3 linked regions of the Saccharomyces cerevisiae S288C genome follow. The gene in region 1 interacts genetically with each later gene. Each region holds a gene or a part of one and is shown on either strand. Other genes may lie near its edges.

The links.
Region 2: mutations in PLB1 (region 1) and HXT1 together harm fitness more than expected from each alone (negative genetic interaction), as found in Saccharomyces cerevisiae (2 studies listed by BioGRID).
Region 3: mutations in PLB1 (region 1) and GLC7 impair growth when combined (synthetic growth defect), as found in Saccharomyces cerevisiae (one study listed by BioGRID).

What each region holds. Positions count from the first base shown.
Region 1 is NC_001145.3:280,028-284,224, forward strand, and holds PLB1 (lysophospholipase), read right to left. Parts: upstream 2,558-4,197; coding exon 563-2,557; downstream 1-562. Other genes in the region: YMR007W (uncharacterized protein), read left to right, coding at 1-313; YMR008C-A (uncharacterized protein), read right to left, coding at 3,054-3,521; ADI1 (acireductone dioxygenase (Ni2+-requiring)), read left to right, coding at 4,075-4,197. UniProt on the Saccharomyces cerevisiae protein: Sequentially removes both fatty acyl groups from diacylglycerophospholipids and therefore has both phospholipase B and lysophospholipase activities. It also displays transacylase activity.
Region 2 is NC_001140.6:290,351-294,292, reverse strand, and holds HXT1 (hexose transporter HXT1), read left to right. Parts: upstream 1-1,667; coding exon 1,668-3,380; downstream 3,381-3,942. UniProt on the Saccharomyces cerevisiae protein: Low-affinity glucose transporter. HXT1 is as well involved in the transport of mannose.
Region 3 is NC_001137.3:430,898-434,520, forward strand, and holds GLC7 (type 1 serine/threonine-protein phosphatase catalytic subunit GLC7), read left to right. Parts: upstream 1-1,597; coding exon 1,598-1,774; intron 1,775-2,299; coding exon 2,300-3,061; downstream 3,062-3,623.

The sequences.
Region 1 (4,197 bases):
TCGAAGGCGTATACGAGCCAAGAAAAACCTTATTTCCCAGTTTGGCCAGACCGGCTGCATTGGGTGCGACGGTAAATTCTCTATAGGCATCACCATTGAAAAGTATGTCCTTAATTTAGTCGTGAGAATCATCATTGTGTTCGCCCTTTGTCGTATAACCGAATTGAGTGTCTTTGATTCATCTCTAAGGTGTAAAAGCAGAAAAACCAGATTATCTAAAGCTGCAAGAAAGAAAGAAACTGATCATTTTCATGAACAGTGCAGATATGTGGAAGTGAAATTTGGCCTGCAGATGGCATATCTGCAATCCTAGCTTTTTCCTTCTGCACTTTAAACCTATCTATATATCTTCGATGAAAGTACTGCATGAACATATCTGTATAGATAGATATATGTAGGGAAGACACCCGGTATGTAAATGTTAATGCTCGTAAGATTTCGAGTTTGTAAAAATAAGATGCGGTATGCACTTGAGATCTCGTAAACTATTTGTATGTTGATATTTTTGCGCTTTTCTCACTCTCGTATTCTTTTAGAAAAGAAATAGAAACGAAGAAAGAGCCTAAATTAGACCGAAGACGGCACTAATGACACTTAAGACACCAATAAAAGTGTTAGTGTTTAAGTTAGAATAATTCACCAAAGCATTGCCCGCATTTTTCTTATGAGTGGAAGACCCAGAAGCAGAGGCAGAGGCGGAAGCAGAGGCAGAGGCAGAGGCAGAGGCAGCAGCGGCGGAGGCAGACAAGGAAGCAGAAGAAGAATAATCATCATTTCCTACACCTGAGACTGACCTGCTGTCAATAGTACCGTTCCAGCAGTAGTTGGTAAAACACTGGCTGCATTCAGAGGGCAATGTAGCATTCAAGTTTTGTTGCTTACGTCTGATAATGGCGCAACCAACACAGCCCAAGAAATCAGAATCATCAGTAAAATTACCCATTGTGGCAGCTTCAAACCCATTCTTAATCATACCAAGACGTTCTGAATCGGAGTATGACATCTTAAAAGTACTTTGGTTACCATTAAATGAATGTCTTGAATTTGGAATGTAAACAATTAATGGTGGAATGTACTCCAAGTCTGTCAAATTTCTTGCATCACAACCAAAAAAGGTTGGCTTTTTGTTCAACCCCAAGTTGACAAATGTGTTCACATCTGGAACATATGGGAAAGACAAATTGAGACCTTGGCTGCCAAATTGACGCTGATAAGTGTTAACTAATGAAGCACCATCTGGCCAATAGTCGTCAGTATCAGCAGAATTGTCTAATGCAAAAATAACATCTAGTTCACGTTCCTTTTGCAACAATGGAACTAAAGGAATATTTTGGTTATCTTCACCACCATCAACCAAAAATAGATATTCTGATTCGATAATACTGGAGGTTGCGTTCTTTTGAAGAAAATTAGCTTCCTTGAATGGATTTGGGGCGTAAATTGCAATATCGTCACTATTGTCGGATAAATCTTCCAGGAAATCGGTGGCTAAGTTAGCAATAAATGAAGGTAAATCGGTAGAATTCAATCTTAGTAAAAATTGGTTAAACAACGTAGATGAAGTGGCTGTTATGAAACCAGTGTTATCAAACCCGGCAATGCATTGGCCTTTATTAACTGGTTTACCGTTTGTAACGTTGGTACCTAAATACTTCACATCCGTAAATGCGTTCAAAGTGGGGTCCCATGAACCCATTTCAAAGGGATTAAATTCGAAAAGAGTGGCATTCAAGTTTATCACGGTGGTACCTGGGTATCTACCGTCTGCAACAGTGATAGGGAAGGGCATTTCTCCATTCTTGAAGACATCAGCTTCCCTTAAAGTTGACCATGTGTACCCTACACCACCACGGTGTAAGCTTGGCCAAAAATTGTACGCAAGAGCACGGCCCCAAACATCCGCCAAAGAGATGTTGAAACCGGCGTCTTTTTTATCCTGAACGTCATCTGATATGTCGTCCCATCTACTCCCAGTCTTAAAGATGTTAATGCCGTCTGGGGTAAGAATTGAATGAGAGATGTCCCAAATTGAGTTAGATTCTGTTGTATTATCCACGATAGCTTGCACAGACGTCCAGTTGTTCCAAGCCAAAGTACTTGTTAACCAGTTACCACCCGACAGACCTGCCAAGTAAGTTGCACCTTGCAGCAGCCCACCAAGACCATGCTCATTTGCGCCATCAGTACGATTGTCCATAGCAGCAAGCATACCAGCACCAGACAACATGGCACGGTAACCACCACCAGAACAGGCGACGGCAATCTTAGGCATATTGGAAGAGTTGCTACCAAAAAGAGTGGATAGCAAGGAAGTGTCACTGAAATTCGAAGTGGCCCTATTCAAAAAAGAATGCAAAGCCTCCTTGGTGTATGCATCTCTTTTTTTCAGCCATTCTGTTTCGTTATCTGACAAACCAGATGCTTCTCTGACTAAGTTAATATCATCATCACAGGTTACGTTCGCAGGGACGTAACTGTTATTTGGTGACCAAGCGTTAACGTTCTCTGTTAGAGAAGTCAAAACTGCAGCAGAAACCAACAAACTCTGCAACTTCATGGTTTTGTTTTATTTTCTTTCCCGTTTGCCCTTAGGATGGATAGCTTCGTGTAATTTACGTTATATGAACGAAAAAAGAGAGAAATGTTAAGAAAAGAACGAAGAATTGATTAGTTAGTATAACCTAATAAATGTAGAACCTTACAGCGAAGAGACGTTTCCGTTGGTTAAATGTGGTGGAAGCGTCTTTATATATTAGATGATGTAGTTTACCTAAGCAGTTAGAAGAAAATAAAGTAACCAAGTCATCTTCTAAGCAAAAATAGGAGACGTAAATGAATGTTGCTTAACTGAGAAAAATATGCGGGAATAAGCGGACATGTTACTGTATGAGGTTATTTCCCTTTATAGATAAGGGCGTAAACCGCATATAATGAGGAAAGGCGAAGTTAGAAACGGACTTTTTAGGTCGCTTTGAAGAAGTCCGTGCAGGAAACCCATGCGTCCACTTATTTTAGCACTATGTGGCATGAGAAAGCTTTGGAAGGAATAAACGTTAGGACCCCACTGCGCCGCTTTTACGCAGGGCAATTTCGGGGACAAAGGGGGCTGAAGGAATACAATTCCGATCCAAGGCAACAAGTAGGTCAGAACCCTTTATTAACCTGCGCTTGTTAGTGGCTTCCTTTGTACTCTGTCCGTAATCCAGCATAGCGCTGAATTGCTGAAAGATATGGGTAGCGGTCAGATGAGAAGGGCAATCGTCAGGACTTCTGTTGAAAAGCGGACTAAACATAGGCATTATCATTCTTAGAGTTTTACGAGCAAATAGAATCGAGTGACTTCCGTCGTTGCTAACAGGCGCAGTAATAATAACCGCGGACGAAAGCCACGCAGGCAAAGAATGCTTTCGCTGAAATATCGGAGTCTTGCTATTGTTCAGGGCTTTGCCGGTGCGTAAATAATAGGCTGAAGCGAATTTGATTTCCCGCACAAAAAATTTTTGCTCGAGTAAGTCATACATATATCTTGCATGCGTAAAAAAAATTGCAATTGCTGAAGATTGAACGACCGCCCACCGGTATTTTCATCTCTTCTAGATCAAGACTAACTGCTCGTTCAGTACAAGTATTTTACGATAGTCCATATTACTCTTCAATTAATATTTTTTTTTTATATTCTGGCCCGTTTTTGACACAATTTTTTCCTTCTCTTTTTCTCCCTATAAACTATGCAGAAGTAGCGATAATCACGATCTTGTTAATGATTCACATGTGCGCAAGTCGTATTGTCTGTCTAGATAGTGAGATGCCTTCTAAATAACAGGAGAGAGGCAAGATAGCATAACGGCGCAATGAAGGTAATTTCTGCCAGTTTTCTTTGCATTGACGACTGAAAGGGCCCTTGTAAGAGCCGCTCGACAGGGCGACGCCACAGTAGAGTCGCTAACACCGAAATATGCATATTGAAAAACATCAAAGTATAAAAGAACAAAGAGGGTGGCATCTGCAGATCAAAAAAAACAATAACCACCAAACAAGACACTAAAAAAGGTCGTAAAAAGGTCAAAAGTTAGAATGGTTAAGGTATATATTCATGACAACAAGGTTGACTCCGATTATCGCGCACCCCACAATTCTGGAACAGAACTTTCCCTGGATGAATTAGCCAAGTTAGGAGTGATTTATAAATACTGTGCA
Region 2 (3,942 bases), on another chromosome or scaffold:
ATAAAACAGTGAGGACGGTTACTCGAGGTTTCAACAGGGGAAAATAAATTTATATGATGAATCAAGAGCCCCGTTCTTTTACCGTATTATCCTTCATACTACATACTAGGGAAAGAACTGAAAACTCCGCTACCTGCTGTAACAGCGCATAATAAAAAGCAAGAATATAGACAGTTACTGTTGTTTACGTTCTTTGATGACATCATTCTCATCAGACATACAGAAACACATCCTTTTTGTCTACCCCGTATTTATTCCAACTTCAAAGTATAGGTACCGTCCGGTTATACTCTCATATACTTTGTGGCAGTTTGCTTCTTTAAACCTTGTTAACCCAGAATATTTTCAGTGCAAAAAGCTTCCGATCCTCAAATACAGTGAGAGAAAAAGCAAACTTGTCTTCATTATTTTTCTGTTTGGCCCTGTCACGGTTCTTTTTATGGCCTTCTCGAAGGATATCCGTAGTCAATTATATTCACGTAGTTGCCAAAAGTAATTTTTGGAAAACTATTATTCCTCCGAGAAAACCTCACACAGAAATCCTTGCAGGTCTCATCTGGAATATAATTCCCCCCTCCTGAAGCAAATTTTTCCTTTGAGCCGGAATTTTTGATATTCCGAGTTCTTTTTTTCCATTCGCGGAGGTTATTCCATTCCTAAACGAGTGGCCACAATGAAACTTCAATTCATATCGACCGACTATTTTTCTCCGAACCAAAAAAATAGCAGGGCGAGATTGGAGCTGCGGAAAAAAGAGGAAAAAATTTTTTCGTAGTTTTCTTGTGCAAATTAGGGTGTAAGGTTTCTAGGGCTTATTGGTTCAAGCAGAAGAGACAACAATTGTAGGTCCTAAATTCAAGGCGGATGTAAGGAGTATTGGTTTCGAAAGTTTTTCCGAAGCGGCATGGCAGGGACTACTTGCGCATGCGCTCGGATTATCTTCATTTTTGCTTGCAAAAACGTAGAATCATGGTAAATTACATGAAGAATTCTCTTTTTTTTTTTTTTTTTTTTTTTTTTACCTCTAAAGAGTGTTGACCAACTGAAAAAACCCTTCTTCAAGAGAGTTAAACTAAGACTAACCATCATAACTTCCAAGGAATTAATCGATATCTTGCACTCCTGATTTTTCTTCAAAGAGACAGCGCAAAGGATTATGACACTGTTGCATTGAGTCAAAAGTTTTTCCGAAGTGACCCAGTGCTCTTTTTTTTTTTCCGTGAAGGACTGACAAATATGCGCACAAGATCCAATACGTAATGGAAATTCGGAAAAACTAGGAAGAAATGCTGCAGGGCATTGCCGTGCCGATCTTTTGTCTTTCAGATATATGAGAAAAAGAATATTCATCAAGTGCTGATAGAAGAATACCACTCATATGACGTGGGCAGAAGACAGCAAACGTAAACATGAGCTGCTGCGACATTTGATGGCTTTTATCCGACAAGCCAGGAAACTCCACCATTATCTAATGTAGCAAAATATTTCTTAACACCCGAAGTTGCGTGTCCCCCTCACGTTTTTAATCATTTGAATTAGTATATTGAAATTATATATAAAGGCAACAATGTCCCCATAATCAATTCCATCTGGGGTCTCATGTTCTTTCCCCACCTTAAAATCTATAAAGATATCATAATCGTCAACTAGTTGATATACGTAAAATCATGAATTCAACTCCCGATCTAATATCTCCTCAGAAATCCAATTCATCCAACTCATATGAATTGGAATCTGGTCGTTCAAAGGCCATGAATACTCCAGAAGGTAAAAATGAAAGTTTTCACGACAACTTAAGTGAAAGTCAAGTGCAACCCGCCGTTGCCCCTCCAAACACCGGAAAAGGTGTCTACGTAACGGTTTCTATCTGTTGTGTTATGGTTGCTTTCGGTGGTTTCATATTTGGATGGGATACTGGTACCATTTCTGGTTTTGTTGCTCAAACTGATTTTCTAAGAAGATTTGGTATGAAGCACCACGACGGTAGTCATTACTTGTCCAAGGTGAGAACTGGTTTAATTGTCTCTATTTTTAACATTGGTTGTGCCATTGGTGGTATCGTCTTAGCCAAGCTAGGTGATATGTATGGTCGTAGAATCGGTTTGATTGTCGTTGTAGTAATCTACACTATCGGTATCATTATTCAAATAGCCTCGATCAACAAGTGGTACCAATATTTCATTGGTAGAATTATCTCTGGTTTAGGTGTCGGTGGTATCACAGTTTTATCTCCCATGCTAATATCTGAGGTCGCCCCCAGTGAAATGAGAGGCACCTTGGTTTCATGTTACCAAGTCATGATTACTTTAGGTATTTTCTTAGGTTACTGTACCAATTTTGGTACCAAGAATTACTCAAACTCTGTCCAATGGAGAGTTCCATTAGGTTTGTGTTTCGCCTGGGCCTTATTTATGATTGGTGGTATGATGTTTGTTCCTGAATCTCCACGTTATTTGGTTGAAGCTGGCAGAATCGACGAAGCCAGGGCTTCTTTAGCTAAAGTTAACAAATGCCCACCTGACCATCCATACATTCAATATGAGTTGGAAACTATCGAAGCCAGTGTCGAAGAAATGAGAGCCGCTGGTACTGCATCTTGGGGCGAATTATTCACTGGTAAACCAGCCATGTTTCAACGTACTATGATGGGTATCATGATTCAATCTCTACAACAATTAACTGGTGATAACTATTTCTTCTACTACGGTACCATTGTTTTCCAGGCTGTCGGTTTAAGTGACTCTTTTGAAACTTCTATTGTCTTTGGTGTCGTCAACTTCTTCTCCACTTGTTGTTCTCTGTACACCGTTGACCGTTTTGGCCGTCGTAACTGTTTGATGTGGGGTGCTGTCGGTATGGTCTGCTGTTATGTTGTCTATGCCTCTGTTGGTGTTACCAGATTATGGCCAAACGGTCAAGATCAACCATCTTCAAAGGGTGCTGGTAACTGTATGATTGTTTTCGCATGTTTCTACATTTTCTGTTTCGCTACTACCTGGGCCCCAATTGCTTACGTTGTTATTTCAGAATGTTTCCCATTAAGAGTCAAATCCAAGTGTATGTCTATTGCCAGTGCTGCTAACTGGATCTGGGGTTTCTTGATTAGTTTCTTCACCCCATTTATTACTGGTGCCATCAACTTCTACTACGGTTACGTTTTCATGGGCTGTATGGTTTTCGCTTACTTTTACGTCTTTTTCTTCGTTCCAGAAACTAAAGGTTTATCATTAGAAGAAGTTAATGATATGTACGCCGAAGGTGTTCTACCATGGAAATCAGCTTCCTGGGTTCCAGTATCCAAGAGAGGCGCTGACTACAACGCTGATGACCTAATGCATGATGACCAACCATTTTACAAGAGTTTGTTTAGCAGGAAATAAACTAAACAAGCTCAATATGCATATTTTAATGACTTATACAGTATTTAATTTCTCAGTAAATTTTATAAAGGTGATATTATATTGGTGTTAAAACAAAATTCTTGTCAAATTCATAAACAGATGTTCTTTTCTTTGCTAGTTCTTGACCTTCACCAAGGAACAAGAAATTTCATTCTGGCACTCTTCCGAGGAAAAATTTTATATGATATAGTATGGGTTAATACCACATAGGCGCTATACATAGTTCAAACGCCCGCTTATGATTTCGGAAAAATGTCAAATGAATAGAAATTGACAACGCTGCTGCTTCAACATCTAGTAGTGTTACTTAAGCCTGTTAGGATGTTGTTTTTAGGTATTTATAATTACTAGCAATAATTTCCATTAACAGATAACCGAGTCGATCTCAATGGATATACAGTTGCCAATCATATGTATTTTCTGACTGGCACAGGGAGACACGAAAAACACTTGCTTGATAAGAGGTGAAGCAGTAAAGAAAAGACGACAAGTAAAAAAAAAATGACGAGAAAATGCACGCTACCATCGAAAAGGCGACCTT
Region 3 (3,623 bases), on another chromosome or scaffold:
ATCGCGAGGGCAACGCAAAACTAGCAAGATACACATATTCCATACATTAAAGCGGTAATTTTTAGTAGTTAATTTCGAAATTTCAAACCCGGCAATGATACGCACATTAAGAAAAGGGAAAAAAAAAAGAATAAATTGGCCATAGAAAAATTCTGTTATCCACTAGACAGAAGTTTGCGTTCCATACTGTCAGAGGTGGCATTTTACATAACAATAGTGACAAAAAATAAATTTCAGAAGGAAGGCAACATAAGTTTTTCTAATCCTAAAATCTTTCGATTTTGTATCAGAGATTGTTCACGCTAATGTCATTCATCATAGTAGATCATTTATCTTTCACTGCGGAGAAGTTTCGAACGCCGAAACATGCGCACCAACTTTCACTTCTACAGCGTTTGACCAAAATCTTTTGAACAGAACATTGTAGGGTGTGAAAAAATGCGCACCTTTACCGCTAGCCCAAGAGGGCACTACAAAATCTAGAGTTGTACTTCAAACGTACATGTAATCACCTTGTATATACTCGAAAGAAAACATCAAGTTTCTGTATAAATATGAGTGAAAGCATAATCATACATTATCTTTTCAAAGATGAAGAGTGGGTGAATTTTGAGATAATTGTTGGGATTCCATTTTTAATAAGGCAATAATATTAGGTATGTAGAAAGTACTAGAAGTTCTCCTCGAGGATTTAGGAATCCATAAAAGGGAATCTGCAATTCTACACAATTCTATAAATATTATTATCATCATTTTATATGTTAATATTCATTGATCCTATTACATTATCAATCCTTGCGTTTCAGCTTCCACTAATTTAGATGACTATTTCTCATCATTTGCGTCATCTTCTAACACCGTATATGATAATATACTAGTAACGTAAATACTAGTTAGTAGATGATAGTTGATTTTTACTCCAACAAAAGAATTACAGTCAGTGGCTGTTTGCTGACATTTCATTGCTTCCCTTACAACCTGATTTCCATTCGAGTTGAAAGGTTGAGAAAAATTGCAAGACTTCTCTCTCATCTACCTTCCCCTTTTCTTGAAGACAAGGTGAGAGACAATTTAGTACTAAAGCTTTTGCGGTTGTTATTCAATTGAGGTAGATACCTGGCAAAACATTTCTTGTGAGCACAACCTCAATTAAAGTTAGACAAGTAGGTGCACTATTGGTTGCTTGTTGGCTCATCTCGTTGAGGAATGTAATAACTACTTGTTATTAACCTGTTTTTGTGCCATCTATAGTGGAGAGCTTATTGCAATTTGTTTTTTATTTCTTGACTGCATATATCAGTCTTTGACAGGCTGCATGGGGATGACAGTTAGAAACTAGCCAAATTACCCCTTATGTAGATAACAATCATTGCTTATTCGCTCTTCCCCCATTTTTTTTCTTGCTCTTGCTGTTTTTTCTTTTAGCGTTCGTTTCAAGGAACAAGAGAGGGAAAAAAAAATCAAAAGTAGAAAAGAAGAAGAAAAAAACAACGTAACACAAGTTAACACCACAACTGAAAAAAAAAATAAGAGGTGAACGAACGAGTAACTGGGGAGAGGAAAGCAGATTACCACAATATACATTCAAATTAAAGAAATGGACTCACAACCAGTTGACGTTGATAATATCATCGATAGATTATTGGAAGTAAGAGGATCTAAACCTGGTCAACAAGTTGATCTAGAAGAAAATGAAATCAGATACTTATGTTCGAAAGCCAGATCTATATTCATAAAGCAACCCATTTTACTAGAGTTAGAAGCCCCAATTAAAGTATGTTAATGTTGAACTTCGCAGTCAAGAGATAGAATGCCTAGAGCTTCAGGTGTTTTATGTGTTCTACTCCTGTTGCGGCAGTAAGATAGTTACAGCAGTTATTTCCGTTTGACTGAAAGAATTTACCAAGCATCTGATGTTAGCCTACTCATATGTCGAGATAGCCGAGATAATGTGTGTGTTTAGCTCTTCATTTTTCTATCTTATTAGGCATTTTTTTACCAAGATTTCCTTATGTTTTGTATCATCATCCGGCCGGCGCCTCCCATATTCAGAAAAATCCCCCTTGCTCACACTAAAAAAAGAAGGCATTTTTTCGTTATGAAGAAAACGAATCTTTTTTTTTTTTGAGCCCGAGAGAAAGGTCGGACGAAAACCAAGAAATGTGGATTTGCAGAAGGCATTGGGAGAAATGAAGCGTTTTTGACAGCAGTAATTGTTCTCTTAAAGTCAACGGAATGAGCTAGATTTAGTGACAAATTCATTTACTAACTTATTTTTTTCTATTTTTTTTTTTTTTAGATATGTGGTGACATTCATGGGCAATACTATGATTTACTACGTCTATTTGAGTACGGTGGATTCCCGCCAGAATCTAATTATCTATTTTTGGGTGATTATGTCGACCGTGGTAAACAATCCTTAGAGACTATTTGTCTATTACTGGCTTACAAAATTAAGTATCCAGAAAACTTTTTCATTTTAAGAGGGAACCATGAATGTGCTTCCATTAATAGAATTTACGGGTTTTATGATGAATGTAAGAGACGTTATAATATCAAACTTTGGAAAACTTTCACGGATTGTTTCAATTGTTTACCAATTGCTGCAATTATTGATGAGAAAATCTTCTGTATGCATGGTGGTCTCTCACCAGATTTGAATAGTATGGAACAGATCAGAAGGGTGATGAGGCCAACAGATATTCCCGACGTTGGCTTATTATGTGACTTATTGTGGTCAGATCCAGATAAAGATATCGTAGGTTGGAGTGAAAATGATAGAGGTGTTTCTTTCACTTTTGGTCCTGATGTAGTGAACAGATTTTTACAGAAACAAGATATGGAGTTGATTTGCAGGGCCCATCAAGTTGTGGAAGATGGTTATGAATTCTTTAGTAAAAGACAATTGGTGACACTTTTCAGTGCTCCGAATTATTGTGGTGAATTTGATAACGCTGGTGCAATGATGAGTGTTGATGAAAGTTTATTATGTTCTTTTCAAATTTTAAAGCCAGCCCAAAAAAGTCTACCAAGGCAAGCTGGGGGTAGAAAGAAAAAATAAATAGATTCACGTCCTAAATCAAAGTTTAAAAAGGAAAATACTTATTAACAAGAAGAGTAGTAGAAGAAAAATACAAGAAACATAAACGTAGAAAACTTTTAGTCAATTCTTTAAGCGAAGAATACGAAAGAAACATCAAGAAAACAAAGGAAGATGCAATCATCACTCGTCATATACACAAATAATTCCCTTTAGTGCAACAAACCGCGAAAAAGCATAAGAAACATAAAAAAAATATAAAAAAAAGGAGATAATAATAAGATGTGAAGGATTTGAATTAGTGGAAAAATGATAAGTCTACACTATTATTATTAACGAAATGCAATTTTTCTTTATTTTCTTTTATTACTATTATCATTACTATTATTATTAGTATTATTATTTTTTTACTTATTTTTATATTAAACTATGTTAAATTACTATATTATTATTTTGTCTAACTCTATATTGAGGCTGTCTTTCGTTGCACTGTTAAGAATGGTCACGTCTTCCTTTGGCTTTGAACCCTTTTATAAACAAGTTGGCCAAATCATTTAGTCAATCACGTCAACCTGTCTAAAAT